Linked DNA regions of Diceros bicornis minor. The protein of the gene in region 2 purifies or fractionates together with the protein of the main gene of each other region. This does not show direct contact. Links are inferred from orthologs where the notes say so. Each region holds a gene or a part of one and is shown on either strand. Other genes may lie near its edges. The genes, in order: CEP78, CEP43 and PPP2R3C.

The links.
Region 1: the proteins of CEP43 (region 2) and CEP78 purify together in Homo sapiens (affinity purification with mass spectrometry; 3 studies listed by BioGRID and IntAct, with this or other methods). This does not show direct contact. The link is inferred for Diceros bicornis minor from reciprocal best matches to the Homo sapiens genes CEP43 and CEP78.
Region 3: the proteins of CEP43 (region 2) and PPP2R3C purify together in Homo sapiens (affinity purification with mass spectrometry; 3 studies listed by BioGRID and IntAct, counting the BioPlex papers as one, with this or other methods). This does not show direct contact. The link is inferred for Diceros bicornis minor from reciprocal best matches to the Homo sapiens genes CEP43 and PPP2R3C.

Annotation. Positions count from the first base shown.
Region 1 is NC_080761.1:15,983,282-15,991,311, reverse strand, and holds the start of CEP78 (centrosomal protein of 78 kDa), read left to right. Parts: upstream 1-4,964; 5' UTR 4,965-5,132; coding exon 5,133-5,385; intron 5,386-8,030. UniProt on the Homo sapiens protein: Centriole wall protein that localizes to mature centrioles and regulates centriole and cilia biogenesis. Involved in centrosome duplication: required for efficient PLK4 centrosomal localization and PLK4-induced overduplication of centrioles.
Region 2 is NC_080778.1:4,362,002-4,369,103, reverse strand, and holds the start of CEP43 (centrosomal protein 43), read left to right. Parts: upstream 1-4,084; 5' UTR 4,085-4,120; coding exon 4,121-4,222; intron 4,223-5,029; coding exon 5,030-5,083; intron 5,084-7,102. UniProt on the Homo sapiens protein: Required for anchoring microtubules to the centrosomes. Required for ciliation.
Region 3 is NC_080744.1:14,270,248-14,277,744, forward strand, and holds the start of PPP2R3C (serine/threonine-protein phosphatase 2A regulatory subunit B'' subunit gamma), read left to right. Parts: upstream 1-4,494; 5' UTR 4,495-4,588; coding exon 4,589-4,646; intron 4,647-7,497. Other genes in the region: PRORP (mitochondrial ribonuclease P catalytic subunit), read right to left, coding at 116-248, 727-774, 2,363-3,351. UniProt on the Homo sapiens protein: May regulate MCM3AP phosphorylation through phosphatase recruitment. May act as a negative regulator of ABCB1 expression and function through the dephosphorylation of ABCB1 by TFPI2/PPP2R3C complex.

The DNA.
Region 1 (8,030 bases), on a different chromosome or scaffold from region 2:
AACTGTCAGATTTTAAGTGGCAGAGTATAAATTGGGTTTGCATTTTACTGCCTGGCCCAGGAGAGGGGAAGAGACCATGACTAGGGACAATGCAGTTGCTTATCAGCAGGATGGGCCTCTAGGGGAAAATATTAGCTCTTTATTTTTAAGTAAAATTTTAAATAGAAATGTAACATACATACATGCCCATGACATTCTTCTCAGAAATAGAACAAAGAATCCTAAATTTCATATGGGGCAACAAAAGACCCCGAATAGCTAAAGCAATCCTGAGAAAAAAGAACAAGGCAGGAAGCATCACAATCCCTGACTTCAAAATATACTACAAAGCTATAATAATTAAAACAGCATGGTACTAGTACAAAAACAGACCCACAGATCAATGGAACAGAATTGAAAGCCCAGAAATAAAACCACATATCTATGGACACCTAATCTTTGACAAAGGAGCTAAGACCATACAATAGAGAAAGGAAAGCTTCTTCAATAAATGGTGCTGGGAAAACTGGACAGCTACTTGCAAAAGAATGAAAGTGGACCATCTGCTTTCACCATACACAAAAATTAACTCAAAATGGATCAAAGACCTGAAGGCGAGACCTGAAAATAAAAAACTCCTGGAAGAAAATATAGGCAGTACACTATTCTTCATTGGTCATAAAGGGATCTTTTCAAATTCCATGTCTACTCGGACAAGGGAAATGAAAGAAAAAATAAACAAGCAGGACTTCATCAGATTAAAGAGCTTCTACAAGGCAAATGAAACCAGGATCAAAATGACTAGGTAACCCACTAGCTGGGAAAAAATATTTGCAAACCATGTATCCAACAAGGGGTTCATGTCCATAATATATAAAGAACTCACACAACTGAACAACAAAAAAACAACTCAATCAAAAAATGGGCAGAGGAAATGAACAGACACTTCTCCAAATAAGATATACAGATGGCCAATAGGCACATGAAAAGATGCTCAACATCACTAATCATCAGGGAAATGCAAATTAAACCCACACTAAGATATCATCTTACACCCGTAAGATGGCTATAATGACCAAGACAAAAACAACAAATGCTGGAGAGGCTGTGGAGAAACAGGAACCCTAATTCACTGCTGGTGGGAATGCAAACAGGCGCAGCCTCTATGGAAAACAGTATGGAGATCCCTCAAAAAATTAAAAATAGAAATACCTTATGATCCAGCTATCCCACTACTAGGTATCTACCCAATGAACCTGAAATCAACAATCCAAAGAGGCTTATGCACCCCTATGTTTACTGCAGCATTATTCACTATAGCCAAGAAGTGGAAGCAACCCAAGCGTCCCTCGACTGATGATTGGATAAAGAAGATGTGGTGTATATATATATAATGGAATACTACTCAGCCATAAAAAAAGACAAAATCGTCCCATTTCCAACAACATAGATGGACCTGGAGAGTACTACGTTAAGCGAAATAAGCCAGACAGAGAAAGACAAACACCACATGATTTCACTCATAAATGGAAGATAAGCTAACACACGGACAGAGAGAACTGTTTGGTGGTTACCAGGGGCAGGGGGGTGGGAGGTGGGCACAAGGGGTGAAGGGATGCATTTATAAGTGACTGACAAACAATAATGTACAATAAAAATTTCACAATAAAGAAAAAAAAGAGTGGAGGGGGTTTGGAGGAGCCATTGTCAATAGCCATAAGGAAGGGCATGGAAAAAAGAAATGGGGACCATATGTCAGTTAAAATAAGACAGCCCATGTTGTTGACATAGCTCTGTGACTGGATCCAACAAACTCGTTGCTCTGAAAGCAGGTCCAGAGAACATGAATGTTAGAGATGTGCAGATGGCATTAGCATTGAGGTTCCATGGAAAGGTAAGTTCGCCTGGAAGTCTGGGTATAATGTTGTCAGGATGGGCTGGGAGTAGAGTACAGTGAATAAAAGGTCAAGTGATACCACTTAACCGTATTCTAGTCAAACATCCACTCACCAGACCCCTGAAGGAGGAGAGCCCATCTCTTGTACTGCCCAGTAGGCATGTCCCTCCCAAGTCATGTATCTGCGGGGAAGCTAAGGCATTTTGTCTTGGGCCAGGCACGAACCTGGCTTATCAGAGGATCCTAGGGGTGCTGTGGGGAGGCAGCTTTTGCTCACCATGTTCAGGGAAGCATGTGGGTAGAGCCCACAAGATGCTGAAAGCAGAACTGAAGCCATAGGAGCCAAAAGGAGAACTATTAAGCCATAATTAAATGGAAGTAGAGAAAAGATTCTCAGGCAAGCCTTGAAAGAAATCTTGCCAGACAGAAAATAAGTAAGCTTGGGGGAAATAAATTTTAAGTTAATATGTTAAGTGATGAATTAATATGATGAAGGCTTCCTTGAGCTGCATCCGTAGGTAGCAGCCACAAGGTGCTGGTGACGACTGGTGCTATAGGGAGAACAGAGGAGAATGTTCCCATAGTCATTATTCAGCACTTCCTATGTACCAACATTGTGCTAGGCATAGGGAATATAAGCATGAATGAGATACGGTCCCTGCCTTCAAAGGGCTTACAGTCTATGGAAAGAAAACCATCTAAAAAGATGCTTGTCATTGGATATACTAAGTGTTATGACAAGGGGATGTCAGGGAGCAGAGCAGTGAGGTACTAAACAAGCAGGGGAGGAGAGGTGAGGGTTAGGGAAAGAAGGCCTCCCAGGGAAGGGGGCCCCCAACCTGAAGTTGGGAAACAAGCGCAAGTTAGTCCACTAAAGAGGGAGTGGAGGAGGAGGGTCCTAAGTAAAGGAGCAGCATCTGTAAAGGCCCAGGCAGGAATGATAAAACATCAGAAACTTCAAGTAGTTCCACGTGTCTAAAGAAGACATTCAGGGAGGAATGTAGCAAGGAATAAGACAACACAGGTAGTCAAATCATGAAGGAGCCTCTATGGCAAGCTAAGGAATACAGACCTGATGCTGGGGCCAGTGAGAAATCTTTGGCTTTCCAGGAGGCAGTCTGACGTATGGAGAGAGATATCTTTGTTAGAAGTCATCAGCCTGGAAGGGGAAGTTAAGCCTGAGCAGGAGACAAGATTACCCAGAGAAACTGGGAAAGGTCAGAAGGGGTGGACGCTGAGGATGGGAACCTGAAAAACACCAACATTTAGAATAGGTAAGCAAGAGACACCCAAGAGCAAGACAGAGAAGAAGAAACTAGAGAAGTATAAAAAAGTCAGGTGGCTTCAAGGAAAACAGGGAAGAGGGAACGTTAAGAAGACAATGGACAACTACAGTAAGTGATGCTGGAGACTAAAAATGGATATAGCAACAAAGAAATCATACTGAAAATTGGAAACATTAAATTTCCATCAACAGGAAAATAGACAAATTATTGCATTTTCCTACATAGGAATGCTATACGGCAAGGAAAGTACATAAACTAGAGATAACACTACATAAAGCAAGTAGCAGAAGAAAACATAGAATGTTATATGCTGTTTAAGAATACTTACAAACGTAGCAGAAATATAAAGACATATATTGCAATGATGAATACCTTCAGAAGAGCGGTTATCCAGGGTTGTTAGAGAGTGGTTGTGACTGGGAGAGTGGTTACATGGGGCTCTTCAACAGGAATGGTGATGTTTCATTTCATAAGCTAGTTGGAGGATAGAGGAGGGTCTGCTATATTACAATTTGAGCGTGTTGCATGGAAAAGTCATGACTGACCACATCTAGGGAATTTTAGTGGAGGAGGTGTGTGTTGGTAGTGGGTGGAAGAGGAATGCCATAAACATAATGCCTAAGGCCAGACTGGAGGACTTCTATTGTTCCAGAAACCGGATTCAAATACAGGTTCTGAGGCCAATATTAAAAGATAAACTGAGGCACATCAAAAATTTTAAGAGTTTATTTGAGCAAAAATGGATTCAAATCGAGCAAGACCACACTAGAAGTGGTTAGGAGTGCTTCCACCGACAGCAGCTGGGGAGAGACGTGCATAGGAAAAGGAGGATGCAAAGCAAGGAAGTTATTGATCGGCTATACCCTATAGTTGGCTGTTTGTGATGGGCTGTCCTTAGCTTTTCCATTTCCTAACCCTGAGGCATTTACAGCCTTAGATTTTGGTTTGCTTATGTAGACTGCCAGAGCTTTAGAGCCACATCAGTCCAATGGCTTCCTTGTTTAATTAATTTAACACCAATTGTCTGAGTTCTTCCACTTCCTTAGCCGTAAGTTACTTAAATTCCCGTGACTCAGTTTCTCTTTTGTAAAGTGGATATACAATAGTATATTCTTTGTGGAGATTTTAGGAAAATTAAACGATTTCATACTGAAACAGTGCTTAAAATAATGCCTAGGAGACAGAAAGTACAAGTTACTAGAGACTTAACCATCATCATCATGAGTACAAAACAAAGTGATTATTAGTAATCACATTAATAATGTCCTGAACTCATGGAACACTTTACAGTTTGCCAACAACCATGGGAGGCAAGTAGAAACTACAGAAATTAAGAGTTCTTTGTACAACTAGCACAGACGTGAAAGAGTTATGGACGACAGTGGACATCTGAGTGGGTGTCGTTCGTACATCCCTTGTTGAGTGTACCCTCCTGGGCGGTGCGTGAATAGACACTCTACAGTTTAGGTCACTTTTTAAAATGCGTCGCTACATCCATAGCTCACTTTTATTGAACCAATCAGTAAACCTTTTTCGGAAACCCCAAATGCCGAGAAACACCTACCTTCTGCACCTCCGCGCCCCGAAGCTCCCGCCTCGCTTCCTCAAGGCCTGTCTCCGCAGGAGGCGGGGCCTGCGTGCTGACGCACGCCGAGCGCGCTGACGTCTTTGCGCACCGCCCCCGCGGGCACCCGCCCTCCGGCTTGAACCGCAGCCCCGCGCCGCGGAGGGCGCTGAGGCGGGCGCCAACGGCCGGCGCCGCGGGGCGGGAGGCGGCGCGGGAGCGCGGCGTCAAGGGGCCGGCGTAGCTGGGGCCCGGGGCCCTGCGTCTTCTGGCCGAGCCGCCGCTGCTGCGCTCGCTGCGGGGCCGCAGCCGCCGGCCCTGGGCGCCGGAGAGGCCGGGCGGCGACCGGGGGCTCCCAGGCGGGCGTTGTCTCCGCCGCCGGCGTCCCCCGAGGCCGCCCCTGGCCATGATCGACTCGGTGAAGCTGCGCCGCGACTGCGCGGCCGACTTCTTCTCGCACTACGAGTACCTGTGCGCGCTGCAGGACTCGGTGCCGCTGCCGGCCGTGCGCGCCTGCCTGCGCGAGGGCGTGCTGGACTTCAACGCCGACCGCCTCCGCGTGGTGGACTGGGCGCCGCTGCTGAGCACCCTGAGGATCAACAAAGATCTGCCGCTGGTCTCCGTCAGGAGCTTCTTCCAGCCGTGGCTGGGCGAAACAGGTTTGTAGTTCCCGCTCCCAGTGGCCCCATGGCTGTGCCGCAGAGCGGGATTTTAGACGGTGCCAGGTGGAGCCTGGGCGCCGGGGCGGGTGCCCAGTGCCGGGGTATGTGTGCGGTAGACAGGGCGTGCGCCCCGGGGCCCTTACCAGCTCGGTGACCCTGGGCGACTCCCCTAAGGGCTCCGGGTCTCTGTTCTCATCCGTAACACGGGCTTAACGGGACCCACTCCGTATGGTGACTGCAAGGATTCGCCGGGTTCGTGCTTGTACAGCACTTAGCACAGTTTGGGACATTGTTAAGCGTTAGAGAGATGTTAACTCGTTTAATGAATGACTTTGCTTGATACAGAACAAAGAGATTAGGAAGTTGATGCATCCCAGCCTTTTGCTTCATTTCGTTTTAAGACAAGACTCTCTCTGATAGGGAAAAAATTTTTTTTGAATGGTAGCATCATATAGTGACAAGAGCACAGATGTGAAGGCAGCCTACGGTTTGAATTCCAGGGCTTACATTCTGTGTGGCCCGGGCAGGTTACTCTTGAACTACGATACCCACACGTAAAATGGCATTAAAACCCGCTCTGCCAGTGGGTTCTTAGAATTAAGCAGGTTATGTGTGTAAAGGATCCTGGCACTTGAATGAGCTCAGTCAGCACCAAGCACTGCTGGAGACAGGCTCCTGCCCTAAAGGATCGCCCCTTCTGGTCGGGGAGGCAGCACGGCAGTCTGCAAGAAGTGAGCTCCGGTGCTGCGGAGCACAAAATATTGGAAGGGAAGGTGCAGGGAAGGCTTTTTGGAGGAGGTGTCCTCCTTTCTAAGGATATTTTCAAGGTACTCAGATGGCAGGAGGGAGCAGCTTGTGTCCAAGTTTGAGACGTGTAAGAAAATACAGGAAGGGGCCGGCCCGGTGGCCCAGCGGTTAAGTGCGTGCTCCGCTTCGGCAGCGGCCCGGGGTTCGCAGGTTTGGATCCCGGGCGCACACCGACGCACCGATTCTCAAGCCATGTTGTGACGGCATCCCATATGAAGTAGAGGGAGATGGGCACGAATGTTAGCCCAGGGCCAGTCTTCCTCAGTAAAAAGAGGAGGATTGGCAACAGATGTTAGCTCAGGGCCGATCTTCCTCACATAAAAGAAAATACAGGAAAACTAAGGTGCAGGACTAGAACTTACGGTTTGAGAAAGAAGGGAGAGTTGAGACTGAAAACTTGATGGGGGCCAAACAGAGAGGAGCCTTGTTTGTCCTGTTAAAAGGTTGGCTGTTAATCCTGAAGGCTGTGGGAAACACGGAGGATGATGAGCTGGGCTTTTGATTTAGAAACTCGCTCTGACCTCCGTTTGGAAGGCAGTTGGTTGGGAAGAGGGTGAATTGTAATCTGAGGGCCCAAATTAAGGTATAGAAAGGGAGGACTGGATTTCAGAGATCAAAGAGACAGAATGGATGGGGCCTGCTGACCAGTTAGCTGAGGGAGGGCTGCATCTGGGGGACAGTCTGCAGCAACACCTTTCTGTGAGATGCCGAGCACAGTAGGCAGAGATTGGGAGTGGGGAGAGGATCTTACTTCGTCTTTAATGCTTTAAGAGGGGCCTGTGGGGCATCCATGAATGTTTGCTAGACAGGTCTGGGCCCAAGTTAGAGATCTGGGCTTTATGGGAGGGCAAAAGTTTGAAGGCTGACGTTACCCACGAAGAAGATCCAGAAAATCATAGGTCTGAAAGATGTTTTTTAGAGGGACACACTTGAGTATGTTTATAAGCTGAGAGAAAGTAGCTAGCAGAGAGGGAGGGTGTGAAGATCTAGGAGAAGAAATGACTATTGATTTATTTTAAAAAACCTAAACATTTGTCATATACCTGGCTCTTTTCTAGGCTCTGGGGTTCGCACCATCTGTTATCTCTTAGGCAAGGACAGTTTAACTCATCCACTGGTGAAAAAAAATCAGGTTATTCTCTGCATCTCATTCAGGTGTAGGAGCTGTTCTGCACCTCTGAAGGGACTTGACTTAAAGTAATAACTTAGGAATCAAAAGAAGTTATAGTTGGAAAGGACCTTGGAGTCAAGGGCACTGTAGTAAATCTTGCCTAATATTTTACATTGAACGTAAGAAAAATGTACTAGACCATTCTCTTCAGAGTTCCTTCACTGAACCTTCTTTATCTTTTGCATCCAGTGGGTCTAGGTTGTAGATTTTAACCTCCTAGATTTGCTTCTTCACCCTTAATTAAGTTTTGCCTGGACTATTGCAGAAGCTTCTAGCTGGTTTTGCTGCCCCTGAGCTCAGTGTCTCTCACTTATCTGCCTACTCGGCTTGAGTGAGCTTCGAAAATGAAAAGATATGCTTAAAATAATGCTTATAATGGCTCGCCCGCACAGGATTAGTGCCTGCTGGTTTGTGTGTTTGTGTTCTGCACAGAGGCGTGCAATCTGAGCTGTGCTCTGCCAAGCCTCATGGGGCTAGTTGGCCCTGAGGAAGGGGTGCTTTTTCTTGTCTATCTGAAGTAGGTGCCTTTTTCTTTCCTTTTTTTTTTTTAAACTTTTATTTATTTATTTTTTCCCCCAAAGCCCCAGTAGATAGTTGTATGTCATAGCTGCACATCCTTCTAGTTGCTGTATGTGGGACGCGGCCTCACGGAGAAGTGGTGTGT
Region 2 (7,102 bases):
CCCGTCACTGATACTGACTTTGGCTTCAACTCCCTGCTTTCTCCCCCACCCACAACACTTGTCTCCCCTGTCTAAAGTTCATATATTCCATGGTCTGCTCCCATTTTTTCCAGATCCACTGGTTTCTGTTTTCTCTCGTGTGTCCTAATTCTAACAGATCGGATCCCCTGTTCCCCCAAGCGGGCCATGCTGCCCATCCCTTATCTCTTACTCACATTGTCCTTGATGTTTGGAATGACCTTCCTTCTCTCACCTTGTTCTGATTTAGTTATTCTTCTCAAGGCCCTCCTCAAAAACCAACTTCTTAATGAATCTTTCCTTTCCTGATCTCAGGAAATAGGTGTGATTTCCAACAAACTATCTTATTTTATATTACAAAACTCTTAGGTAGGTTAGTACTTCACACCTGAGGGGACTGAGGCTTAGAAAGGTCTAGAAACTTTGAGAATTAAACAGTATAAATCCTCAGATTCAGGAAGCCTGCTGAATGCCATGGTGTGCTAGTGTCTTGACATGAGTACAGCCATGTTTGGCGGCTCCATTGACCTATAGCCACCAGCACACAAAGAAATACAAAGCTGCTTTCTGTGTGGTGGGAACTGGCCTTTTCCCGGGAACTGGCCTTTCTCCCACGGAGGGAGTTGCAAGTTGTAACAGTTCAAGGCTCTTGGAGCGTCGTAGCACGGGATGGACTGGCCATCTGTCCTGGGCTAAGAAGATAACCAAAGAAAACAATGCACGTACACAACTACTGGGCTGGGACGTTAGCCAAGGGGCTCAGTGCACGTACGCCACTGATAACCATGTGTGCATGGAAACACTGGATGCTTGCTCTGTAAACTCTGTAACTGCTTATATAAACTGCTGGAGACTGAGACCCGGTGAGAGTTCCACCTGTGGAAGGGACACCTTGCCCAGGACGTGTGATTCTTGCCCAGCCGCGTCGATTGACAGGGCTCTCCCGGCAGTGGGGCGTGGATATTGTGAGTAACTGATTTGATATAAGTAATTGATTTACTATAAAGTAACTGATTTGATGTGTTCTCTTTTCAGTCAACCTGGTGTTTCTCTTTCCGGTTGATTTGTGTCATTTCCCTTCAGTCGACCTGGTGTTTCCCTTTCCGATCGATCTGATGTTTTTCCCTCTTATTATATGACCTATTCGGATCTGCTGCTATCTCAGCCGATGTGGATATTTTCCCTTTCCAGTCGAGCTGGTGTTTTTTCCCTCTTATTATTTGACCTATTTGGATCTGTTTGCGGACTATCGCCTTTACTATACTCTATATAATAAAATATACCTTCAGTCCATTTGTTTGGAGTGGAAAGTGTCTTTTACATCTCCGATCGAATCCCCAAACCTCTCATAACAGCTAGTAAATGTTTAATAACTGGCTCTCTGTGAAAAGGAAAAGCCCCAATTCATAGTATTTGCCAATCTCCATGGTGTTTCCTACCACAGTGAATTTCAAGCTACCAATGTGATATCATGGGATTTTCTGGCTCACAAAAACGGCTTTTACACAGTGCCGTAGGTTGATACCTGGCTGTCATATTCTTGCTTCAGCATTTTGATATCATTTTTAAAAAAATCTGACTCCACAGTCTTTAAAATTACCATCGCCCCCATATCCCCAAGTGCTAGAGAGATTGCACCAGCCTGTGCCCCCCTTCCATGGTGTCCCCTCTCACTTAGTCATAACAGCAAAGCTGCTGCACCATTCCAGGGGTACCACTGCCCCACTTACCACCAACAGTGTGTCCTTGTTGCTATCTGGCTAGTGAGTGATCCAATTCCAGAACCCCATTCCTAGGATGGGCTTCACATGACCAAATCTGGGGTAACTGTCTTAGTCTGAGTGCCCCAGAAGCCTGAGATAAGGATTTGAGTGCAAACAGTTTATTTGGGAGAGAATCCCGGGACACAGCAGTAGGGGAGTGGGAAATGGGACAAGGCAGGGAAGTAAACTCATAAGAGCCGTGCTATTAAGCAGGTTTCTGTTTAACTGGAGCTCAAACAAGAAACACCGGGAGCCAGTGTAGAAGGCACCTTAGAGGTACCTTTCTGCCCCCCTGGGGGTGAGGGAGTTGGGGGTCCTTATCTACTCTCTGCCAGCACTTGCAGGCACTCTCAGGAGGTATGTATTCCCTGGCACTTCAGGCCTTCCCCAAATGCAGGCAGAGCAGGGTCTGGTGACCAGAAAAAGTCAGCAGGCAAATCATCTCAGGTGGGGGCAGTTGGAGTATGCAGAAAAATCTTCAGTTCAAGGGCATAGGGGCTCTGTCTAACAGACCTATTATACCCCTAATAGGGTGGATGCTGTGGCTTGTTTTTCAATTGACCTACAGACAAGGTTTGAAAATATAATTATAATTAAGAGAAGAATGCAAATTCTTGATAGCATAAAAATAAAACTCTAACTCAGAACATTAGGAGCAGTAGAGGTGGAAAGGTGAGAGAGAGTATAAATACATGAATTTCCTCATCTCCCATATTAGGGAGCCAATAGGCAATGTGTAAAATTTATAAATAATGATTTAGGTAAACAATTTAAAGTCACGAAATCTTCCACCAGCAGAACTAAAAGTAATGTAATTTTTAAAATTAGGAGTTGGAAGAGAAGATACATTTTTATCCTTTGAAAAGCTGCTGTTTATGGTTGAGGAGTCAAGATGTATATTATTTAGAGTTATAACGAAAAGAATGAGAAGAACTAAAACAAACATAATTGTTGTTGGGTCTAGAATATGTACCAGGTGATGGATAGGTGAGTAGGAAAGATGCAGAGACTTTTACTTTTCATTTAATGTTTTCCTCTTGTTTGGATTTTTAACCATTGGTATGAATTACTTCCACAACAAACAAAACAAATGCAAACATACTGTAGTCTAATAACAAAAAATAATTTTTGGAACACCCTTAAACAGAGCACTATGCAGGAGTTAAAAAGAATGAGGCAGAGTCTATACCTACATACATCAAAAGATGGTCAGGATTTATTAAACGAAATTAGTAAATTAAAAGACAGTAAGCACAGGACCCAAATTACGGAAGGGGAAAAAGTACACGTGTGTAGTAACGTGTCGATGTACAAAGTTGTCTGGAAAGATATATACCGTACCAATTTTAACAGACGCTGCCAGCAGGGAGAAAAGTTGGCCTCGGCAGAACACCTCGACTTCTACTTCTCATTTGACATATTCCCTTTGTGTCTCAGATAATAATCTGCAGACCACCTGCTTTAGAATCACCTGGCCTACTTGTGAAAATGATTCCTAAAACCTACTGCAGACCGCGTGAGGACCCCTGGGGTGGAGGTCTAGAATCTGCACTTTTTTCTTACAAGCTTCCTAGTACGTAGTTTTGAATTTCCTCACTTTTCTCAACATGTTATTCCAAAACTATGCAAACACACAGGGTGTAAAGAACAGTACAACAGTATATTGAGCGTCCATAAATGCTCCACTGTACCGCACAGTGTAGACGTGCTCTCTCTCGGAGAGCGGGTGCACATACACGCATGCACGTACATGCTCTCCCGGTGACTGCATGCACACACGCACACACGTTCATGTATGCACACACATTTCGGCCGCACCTTGGAGAGCAAGTGGCAGACATCAGGAATTTCCCCCGGCTTCCAGCACCCGTGTCTACACAGACAACCTGCAGGCGCACACCAGGAACATTTCAAACGCCTCTGCTACCCCAGTCTCCCCTCCCCGCCCTTCCCCGCGCCGCCCCCCTCTTCCACCGTCGCCTGCAATGTTCCCGCCTCCCGAGACCCTGAGGCCCCGCCCCGCCCTTTCTTATTGCCCCGCGCCCCGCCCATCTCTCGTCTCCCCGAGGCCCCGCCCCGCCCTTTCTTATTGCCCCGCGCCCCGCCCATCTCTCGTCTCCCCGAGGCCCCGCCCCTCCACATCGCCCCCCCCCCCCCGCACCCCGCCCATCTCACGGCGCCCCCTAGGCCCCGCCCCCGGCCCCCCCGCCCCCGGCGTGAGGAAGGGCTGCGCGCTGGCACCGGGGGCGTGGCTTCGGCCGCGCCGGCGCGCGCCGTGCGGAGTCTGCGGCGGCGGTTGGCCGTTGGCGCGGCTTGGGCGGTTGTCTTGGAGAAGCAAGATGGCGGCGACGGCGGCCGCGGTGGTGGCAGAGGAGGACACGGAGCTGCGGGACCTGCTGGTGCAGACGCTGGAGAACAGCGGGGTCCTGAACCGCATCAAGGTGGGGCGGGGGCCGGGCCAGGCGTGACGAGGGGAGGCCGGCGGCGTCCGTGCCGCAGGGCCTGTGCGGACGGCGGGCGTCACAAAGGGACGCAGGGAGCGTCGGGCTGGCATCCCGGGCGGGGGGCGGGCCACCTCCAGGCGGACCGCGCGGGGGTCGAGGGTCACTCCCGGGAAGCTCCGGCCGCGCGGCGGCGTGCGGGAGAGGCGCCCCGGCCTGGACTCTTCGTCCGAGGAGGCCAGACCACCGGCTCCCCGGGCCCCCACCCCGCGTCCGGGGCTCCAGTCGCCCGCTGCCCCCCTGAGTCCCCCCTCGTTCGGGGGTCGAGTCGCCCGCTGCCCCCCTGAGTCCCCCCTCGTCCGGGGGTCGAGTCGCCGGCTGTCCCCCGACCCCGCCCTACGTCCGGGGGACCCAGTCGCCCACGCCCCCCCCCCCCCCCCCCCCGCCCAGCTCGCTGTAACCAGCTGGGTTGCCCGTGTCTGGCGAGGTATTTCTCCAGGTGGACTTCTCAGACATTGTCGTGGCTCGTAGGCACGATTAGGAAAGGGAGAGCAGAGCTAAAAGAGTGATGGTGCTGAGAGAAGATGGAGGGGAGCAGTGGTAGACTTGGGGAACGGAGAGCTAGTTGACTCTCTTTTCAGAATGTTTCAGGATGCTTTTTCCACATCTCTCTGCGTTATCGTCTGGCTAGTTTTCCTTTCGTTTGGCTTCAGGTGGTGTGGATGGTGCCTATCTTAGCAAGTATTCGCTTCTTGTCATGAAAATCGTGTTGAGATAATTTTTGTTCCTTTATCCTTCTTTTTTAAGGCGGAACTCCGAGCAGCTGTGTTTTTAGCGCTAGAGGAGCAAGAAAAAGTAGAGGTATGAAATTGACAAATTTTAATGTGACTGTATTCGTTGATGTTTAATTTCTAATTACTTAAAAACCGTTCTAAAATATTGTTTATAGTAGCATATAGCCAGGGATAATTTTGGACTATTAATGATTACATTTTTTACTGTTGAGAGAGAGTCAAAATTATTCTCTTCTTGTGTATGTTTTAGAATTTTGGAATAATTTAAAGAAAGTTAAGGTACCACAGTAACTCTGAGGCTGGTACTAAATCTTAAATGTCATAGATCTCTTTCCATAGGGGAGATCTGAGACACAAGTTCATAGGAGTTACACACAGAAATGATTCTGTTGTCAGTGAGTTTACTTTCTTGCAGGATCCCTCAGAACCTTCAGTATGCTAATGTTCATTGGGGAATATAGTATGCAACTTTTCCCAAAATTATCTGATCACCTAGTTGTTTTAAAATCATGTAATCTTTCTTATTGTCAAAAGTCAAACCACTTCTCTGTACAAGCGTATTTCGTTTTTTCTCTCTACGCTGAGTCCCATCACCATCCTGAGTAAGTGTCTTGGACCTTGTCATCAACAAGAATCACTCCATAATCAAGCTCCTCACCTTGCCCTCTGACAAATCGCTCCCCGCCACAGCTCACTTCTTTAGACCTAGATGCCTGCTCCTCTTTAACTCCATGGAGCTCTTCCAGGCATTAGTCTTCTCTTGGCTGTCTTTTGTTCCTGACTGGTCTGGATGCCATGGGCCATATCTCAAAAACCCTAACTACCTCGCCTTCCAGCCATACTTGGTCTGGGAAAAATCCTAATGGTCATTGAATTTAGCAAAGTAACTCCCTTCCCTGTTCGTGCATGTGCGTGCTAGAGCAAAGTCACCCAACGCTGTGATTGCTGATGTTGCTAATTGGTGGACACCGACCTCAGTGAGGTCCTGAGCAGACCTGGCTTTCTACTCTGTGCTCAGGACCTCCTGTGGCAGCTTCACTGTAGCCCGTACCTCACCCCTTTGCTTCCCTCTCCACAGACGGTCTTGTCTGTTCCTTCAGGGGAAGTAGAAGCACCAGGGCCTAACTTGCTGTGTCCTCTCCCTCAGGCTGTCACTCACCTCAGAAAAAGCTACCCTGCATCTGTTTGTCACTTTTCCTCCTTCCTTCCTGCTTTAGTAGGGGAAGCTCTGTCTTGTCCAAGAAGCATCACTTTCTCTGGGTTTTGCCTTCCAGGTACTGTCAGCCCCTCAGCGACTTGCTGTATCTTTGGCCTCCTTCTTTCTTTTGGCTCTTCTCTTGAGGATGGAAACATGTTTACAGCTCTCTCAAGGAGAAAGCTGTTCCCTTGACTCTTGTTCTGCTTTTAATACCTCTCTATTTTTTTCCCTCATGGCCTAGGTTTGAAAGAATGTGTATGTCTTATACCATTTCTTATGTTCTAGGCACCCTTTAATCCATTAACGTCTTAAATCCAACTCTACTACACCAAAGTAATTTCTCTTGCTGCGGTCAAGAAGAATCTCCTGATTGAGTCTATTTTAGTTCTTACCCATCTTAGTTGCTCTTTGTGGCATTTGACATTCTCAATTCCTCCTTCCTTCTTGAAAATCTCCCTTGACTTTTGGGACCCTTTTCTTTCTGTTTTCTTTTTTCCTTTTGATCAGTCCTTGGATTCTTTAGCGTGATCTTTTTCCTAAACACCTCACTTAAATCATTGGTGCATTTTCCCGTAGTTCAAATTCTGTGTTCTCTCCCTGGATGACCTCAACCACACCAGTAACTAACTTCAGCCCTCTGTCTCTGGTCCATATCTCCGTCTGGAGCTTCAGACCTGTACGGTACACTGCCTCCTAGACTGCTCTTCTTTACAGGGACCATAATTTATCCAAGCAGGAAACCTGAGAGAGCCCCTAGACCTTGCTCTTTTCTCCGCGTGTCCAGTAGGTCGCCTGCTTCTGTGTCTGTCAGTTCTGTATCTGAAATGTACAGCTGCCCACTTTGCCTACACTTAGTTATCTCTTTTCCAGATTACTTTACCGTTTCCT
Region 3 (7,497 bases), on a different chromosome or scaffold from region 2:
CGTATGGCCCCCAAAGCCTAAAATATTTACTATCTGGCCTTTTACAGAAAAAAATTGCCGACCCCTGCTCTAAACAAGCAATCCAAGAATGCAATAAAACCTGTTTCAGACTCACCTGAGGTGTCGTCTTTCTGTATTGGTCACCTCCATCTATCACATCCCTCATGATTTTTCCCTTGAGAAATTCATACTCTTCCGGACTCAGGTGAATAGACTCTATGGTTTTTCCACAGCCCAAACACTGACCACTGTAATTACAATTGTTTGTGTTAAATAGTGTCCTAGAAAAGAACTTTTTCTAAAATGAATAATCCTAGGACATGAGGAAATTGAAAGGTAATTTAAAAAGAGCATTATACGTTTGTGATCATCACATGCATCTGATTTTTTGTAAACTTGATAGTATCACACATCAGTGTGCCAGAAAACCTAAGAATACACTGCTGGGCATCCAGATCAAGTTTTTAAAGTCATTCCTAAAACACAACTAGGTCCCAAATCTCTAGGGGAAAACATCTCTGAGGCTTCACACCAGGCTCACAGCACCTATAGAAAAAACATTTTGAACACTGCAACTTCTCCATATGCAAAACACGGCTTTTCCCCTGGGTACTCTAACTCTTAATTATCCTATCTCTAGAATATTCTTAAAAATTTTTAAGTCAGTAGCAACAAAACCTACTAAACCTGAATCAAACAAGTTAAAAATTAAATATTGGCCTTTACCTTTTTTGGACTGTTGTGAATTGTCCTTTCCATTGTTCTCCAGGAACACTACAAAAAAGATTGCAAAATCAAATCATCAGAAGGTCAGGTGCCTACTGAACTGAAAGATAGTCATTGTATTTAGAAACACAGTAGGCAAGAGCTCTGAAAAGTTCCGGATACTTCCCAAGAATGGTTAAATTACAAGAGTAGTTGATACACCACGATGGGACTAAGGAGCTGATGGTACCCTACTCTGGATCTCCTTCCCTTTGCTTCTCCTCCAGTCATCCGACCCTCATCTTCAACTCGAAATCTACCTTCACAGGACTTGTACAGAAAGCAGCTATTAGTACTGTAACCTCTAAATCAAACTCAACTCTAACCCTCTCCATAAAGCTACCACAGATTGTTCCTACCCAGAACAACTTCTTCTCTTATACTATCATGTTATACACCACTATTATTTAACGGTCAAGTATCATATTCCCATTTAGGTTATGAATGCTGTCATAATAGATCCTATATCACAAAACATTCTCAGTGCCTAGCCTAATTGGAGGCATTCAAAACTTACTGATTTATTTGCTCAACCAACTTATCTTTTCTTCTTTCCTCCTACACATATTACCATCAATTCCTATTGATTCTATTGCCTTCTCTCCTTCCCTAGTTCTTAATTCAAGATATCATCATCTCTCATTCAAACCTATAGTTCCCTCCAAACAGATCTCCCTGTTTCCAATCTTAATCTCTCTCCAATCTTCTTTTCGCACTGTTTTGGCAGTACCTTTCTAAAAATCCACTGTGGGACGAGCACTCTTGATAACACAATAAAACCCAAAATCTTCAAAGATTTTCACAATCTAGCTCCTCCGTTGATATTCAATAAATTCATTAAATAAGATAACTAAGCATGATTGCTACTTCAAAGCTCTATAAAGATAATATATAGTAGAAAAGCAAGAGAAAAGGAATTATTTTTTAGGAAAGAGCCTGAAGCACATTAGTTGTGAAGAAATAAGAGAATAAAAGACTGCAGCAATAAATAGGCAGGTAGGCAATAACTAAAAGCAAAGGAGAAAGCCTTGGAGAGAGCAGTCGAATGATGGAAAGATCACAAATGAACAGGAAAGAGGAAGATTTTCTATTTTAATACCTGCATATCAGGTTTGATCAGGATCCCCTGTCCATTCCGTTCTACCGATCAATTTGATAAAATGCATAGATTAAACCAGTATGTATGCATGTTATACCAGTTACTAGGTTTCAGAACTTCTGAAAATACTAAAATGACCCAAAGACAGCTCCAGTTTACTTGCTAGGAACTCCAGCCACCAGTGCTATTGGTAACTACTCACATAATACTAGACACCTCAGAAAACCAAATAAATGATCCTTCTAAAAGGAAAAGACACATAAAATCTACAAGTGCTCTATAATTTTCCTTTTATGTGATGAGAAGAGATTAGCACAACTTGTTTATGCCACTATTTTTTTTTAAGAGAAAGAAAATTTTGTCTTAAATCTTACTAAGAGATGGAAAAAAAGTATAATCTGAGTAGAGTAATTCTCGGCAACTAATAAAAAAGAGGAGGCTTCTTTTAGGTATAGGTATTAAAATAAAAACATACATACAAAGAAAAATCAAAATTACCTCTCAAACCATGTTTTTATACTGTGTGCAAATGATTCTCCAGGATACAGCTGATTATTTCTTAGATACAAAAGAATGTCTAGTAGTTTGTTTGAATACTGATCATCTTTTACATCTTTTCCAAAATCAAAGAAGGCTTTTAAAGTTTCCAACATAGGAATAACACCATGGCCTAACAACTCCTGATACAAATCCCAAGCTATGTTCACATCTTGATGAAGCAGGGCTCCCTGGATACAGTCATGATAGTTCTTTTTTGAAGGGACCATTACTTTTTTGATGTCCTCTAACAGCAGCAAGGCCTCTCTCCATCTGTCTGAATGGATTAATCCCCGGATGAGAAGAGTGTTCCCTCCAGATTCTAAACTCTTGTATCTGGCTTTCATGATTTCGTAGACGTCAATAACTTCTGATGTCTGATTATGAAAGACACAAAGATACAAATACTTGACCAGCAAATCATAGCCTATAACACCATTGTTTTTTGCAGCTACCCAGGCTAGCAGAGATTTGGCCACATCTACAGAGCTATGGCAATGAGTCATTTGTGAACTGATCCAATTTTCAAAATTAGCCTTTCCTTTGAAATCTTCCTTAAGTTTATCCCACTCCTCTGAATTCAAAGGTTTTGTTGGAAGTTGAATAGTGTCCCTGACGGGTGACAAGGCATGATCTTTACTCTGAGGATTCATCTGTGATCTCTTCTTAGCCGCTCCAGCTGCAAAAAGATGAGGAGAATCAGAAGAAACTTGCTTCTTACTGCCCTCATCCCCTTTCCTGGGATATCTGGCCTTGGCAATGAGCAGATTCACTGCTTTAGTATTTTGTGGAGACACTGTTTTAAGAGAAATCCACTTCTGTTGGTTCCTGATGCCATAATAGTCTTTGAGAAAGAGAGAGAGGTAAGAGTGTCCTGGGCCTAGCCCAAGGTATGGGTTGCTCTTCCAAAGCTTAGGAAAGCTTCGAACACCGGTGAAACAGAAAGCCATTATGCAGTGAGATCAGCACCAGGTAGTGAGAGAGATGTTCAACAAGCCCTACTTTTACAGCACAACTTTTTAAAAGATGACTTTCAGTCTCTCACACACAAATCAAGGTTCTGCTTTGGGGGCTATTAAACAGCAACGAAGCCTGGTGAGTTCTCTCCATTAAACAACGATATGGGACATCTAACCTCCGTCGGAAACCCCAGACCCAGGTGACTCGGCAGGGACCCTCCGGTGCCTGTTATATTCCAGTCCGTGAACCTGAAGAGAAAGCACAAGGAGGACCGCCCAATTCGACTCACGTGGATCACAACTGTCCTCGAAAAGGGGCAAGATCTCATGGGAGCCTTGCTGAACAAGGGGCCTAAAGTGGAAAACCGCGCCCAGGAGCCGCCGACCCCAGACCCACAGCAGCAAGGATAGCGGCCCTGGTCCTGTATCCCAGTCTCCCCAGGCGCCAAACTCGTAAACGGGGGGAATGGGGGGGGGGGCGAGCCTACCACACAGACAAGGAAGGGAGATCCGCGAAGGGCACCGCCTACCGGGTACGGACCCAACGCAAACCAATTCCACTTCATTCAACAACTCACCGCAGCACTCACGCTAAACCCAACCATGAACGCAGCGGAAACTACCGCGTCCACAATGCACCGCGGCGACCCCGGGCGAGGGGGCGGGACCGAGCAGGGCGCGGGCGTTCCGCCGGGCCTGGCAGCGAGAAAAAGGCGATTCTGAAGCTTTTAGTGGCAGAAGGGGGTAGAGGCGGCGGCGGAAGGCGACTACTAAGTTTAGAGGACATTTAGGGCATCCATATATCCGCAGTGAACAATGAAAAGAAATTGTGAAGGAAGAAAGTTCTTCCCTCGAGCCGGAAAAGCTTGAGGACCCCTGAGTCACGTGGTGCACAAGCGCCAAAGGCCCAAGATGAAGAAATAAAAGCGCGGGCTCCCTTATCCTGCGCCTTTAAAATCGGGCTTGGTGAAGTTGGGACGCCGCCTTCAGGAGGATCATTTTCCACCTCTTTCACGTCGGTTTCTCCGCTGTCAGTGTGATCGCCGTAGTCTCCGCAGTGTAGAGGAATCGTTTTTGCCTCTTTAGCCACCTTCCGCCCGTGCCCAAGATGGCGGCTGAGCGGCCTCCCTAACCTTCGCGGGGCTGGACGGCGTGTGACGTCGGAGCTGGGAGGGGGTGGAGCGGGCAGTAAACAGCGAATGCAGGACCCGCTGCGCGGGAGTCAGCCATGGACTGGAAAGAAGTGCTTCGCCGGCGGCTAGCGACGCCCGACACCGGTCCAAACAGTGAGTTTGGGAGGGGCCGCCCGCAGAGCCAGGCCGGCCCTAAACTCCTAGAGGTTGGGGGAGAGCGGGGAGGAGCAGCGACGCGAGCGGCGCTTTCCGCTCCTCGAGAACCGCCCCTGACAAAGGAGGCAGAGTGGACTGGTTTAGGGATCCGGGGAGGTGTGACCCACACTTCCCGGGGAAAGGATTTGCGGGAATGAAAAGCTTCCTTAGCCTCTCACTTACATGGTCTTGACCCAGACTGTGAGGGAAAATTGAGAACCCCGGCTCCAACAACTCTTCGGTCCTTCCAGAACCTATGGTCCATTGATCCTACCGCCTTGTTACCATCACACTTTTCACTTCCCTCCTTATCCATCTAAAATGGATAACATTTAGGTTTCATAATCCATTCTTCCTTGTCCCTTTCGCCCTCCTTCACACTTGCTTGCTAACCAATCTAGTTAAAACTGTCTTTCGTATTCCACACCTGCACCCGGAGCAGCTGAAAGTGGTTGGAGAAAAAAGGAACCAGGGTGAATTGTCTCACTTTTAATTCGCGTCCACTCACCCAAAGTAGGTGTTTTCAGCCATTCATTTACACTCCTTCCGTGTTTCCCTAGACATTCACTCTCCCACAGTCTAAGGCAGTTCTTCTCATCTCCCAAACTTCCGATCCTCCAGTATGTCCTTCCTACTCCTTACCGTCAGCTGATGGACTTACGTATGTACGTATATGTATTTGAGAAAGTAGAAGCAATCAAAGAAGAACGTCACGTGTTCCCATTTACCATTGTCAGCCCCCCATAGGTGCGCATACACTCTGCCTTCACGGTTAAAATGAAGAACTGTCCAAGCTGCTATGTGAGACAGTCTCTGCACTCCAACACTAGATCGTGTTCCCTTTCTTTTATTCACTGCCTTCACTCTGGGCTTATCCTCTCTCTCAGGCATCATCAAATTTTGTGTCTCTACTGGATCGTTTTCATCAGCTGTGACAAACATGCTGTAATATCCCCCATCTTAAAAAAAAAATCATTTGATCTCACATCCGCCTCCAGCTTTTGCTGCATTTCTCTGCACCCCTTATAGGAAAACGTCTCGAAAAAGTTACCTATACTTGTGCTTTCTCCTCCCCTTCACTCTTAAAGCCACTCCATTGCATGTGTTATGTGTCAGGTACTGTTGTAGGTTATAACAGTAAACAAAACAGACAAAAATCTTTGTCCTTGTAGATCATGCTTTAGTGTTGGGAGAGATGATAAACAAAATGAGTCATTTAGTTGCACAACTTCTGGTTAATGCTGTTTCCTTCATCAGTGTGCTAGATTCCATCCCGTTTTTGCCTACTCAAGGATGCGCTCCCCCAGTCATCCCCTCTCTTCTGCATCATCAGTTTTTCTTTCTCAGTCATTCCCATCAGCATGTGAATATGGTGGTATTTCTCCCGTCTTAAAGAAACTGTCTTGTCTTAACTTCCACCTCCAGCTATGCCTCATTTCTCTGCTCCCATTATAGCAACACTTGTTAGAAGAATTGTTGGTTAAATCCGTACTCGTCTCTAATTCCTGTTTGTCAAGATGGTCAGTGATCTCCATGTTGTTCCAGTGGTCAGTTTTCAGTCCTCATTTTACTTGACCTGCCAGCAGTCCCTGCCAGGAACGTAGTAGTTCACTCTCTCCTCCTACGCATACTTTCTTCTCTTGGTTTCTGGGAGACACACTCTCTTAGTTTTCCTCCTACCTCACCTGCATCCCTTCTTAGTCTTTGCTTTTTCTTCCTCTTCTACCCAACAACTTAACGTTGAAATGCCCAAGGCTAAGTCCGTGGTCAGCTTCTATTCTCTGTCTACACTCACCTTCATGGTGAAGTTATCCAGTCATATGGCTTTAAATATTATCTATTCGTATTGTCTCCTAAATTTTTATCTCTATCCTGGACCTCTTCCCAAATGCCAGATTCATATATCTAATTGCCTACTTGACATTGCCACTTGGATCTGATAGATATCTTAATCTTAATTTTTCCAGAACTGAACTCCTGCTCTCCTTCCTAACTTGCTCACTTGTAGTTTTCCCCATCTTAGGTACTGGCAACCCCATATCTGGTCAAAACCTTTAGTTATATCTTTGTTATCTTTGACTGCTCTCGTTCTCTAATACCCACATCCAGTGTGTCAGCAAATCCTGGGACTAAAAAGAAAATACAGAGTATATTTCCTCCTGACGGCTTCCATTGCAGCCACCCTGTTCCAAGCCACCGCCGTCTGTCACCTGGATTAGCATTAGCCTCCTCATTGCTTCAGGTGGCTCTCTCCCTCACCAGAATAAAAGCCAAGGTCTTTCCAACCACCTGGTGGCCTGGCTCCCCATTGTCTGCCCTCCCTAATCTCCCCATGGCTCCTTGTGCTGCAGTCACACTGGCTGCCTCCCTCTTCCCTGCACACACCAGGCACACTCTCATCTTAGGGCCTTGGCACTGGCTATTTCCTTTGCCTGGAATGTACTTCCCCCTGGATATCTGGATAGCGTGCTTCCTCCTCTTCCTCAGTTTTTTAATTTCATCTCAGTGAGGCTTTCCCTGACACTCTGTTGAAAGCTGCATGTATGTATGGACACACATGCACACAGCTACTCACACATTTACTTGTGTATCTCTAGAATAGTTGAAGGAAAAAGAATGAAACAATGAACATGACTTTTGGGATTTGGGCTTGGGTGACTGGATGAATCGTGCTACCATCAACTGAAATGGAAATATGGAATTAGAGAAGAGTAGTAAGGTGAGGGATGGGGAGAATTATTTCAGCTATGTTGCAGCATGAGGATGAAAATATTTTGTTTGAATGGATGAGTTTAGAGTTCAAGAGCAA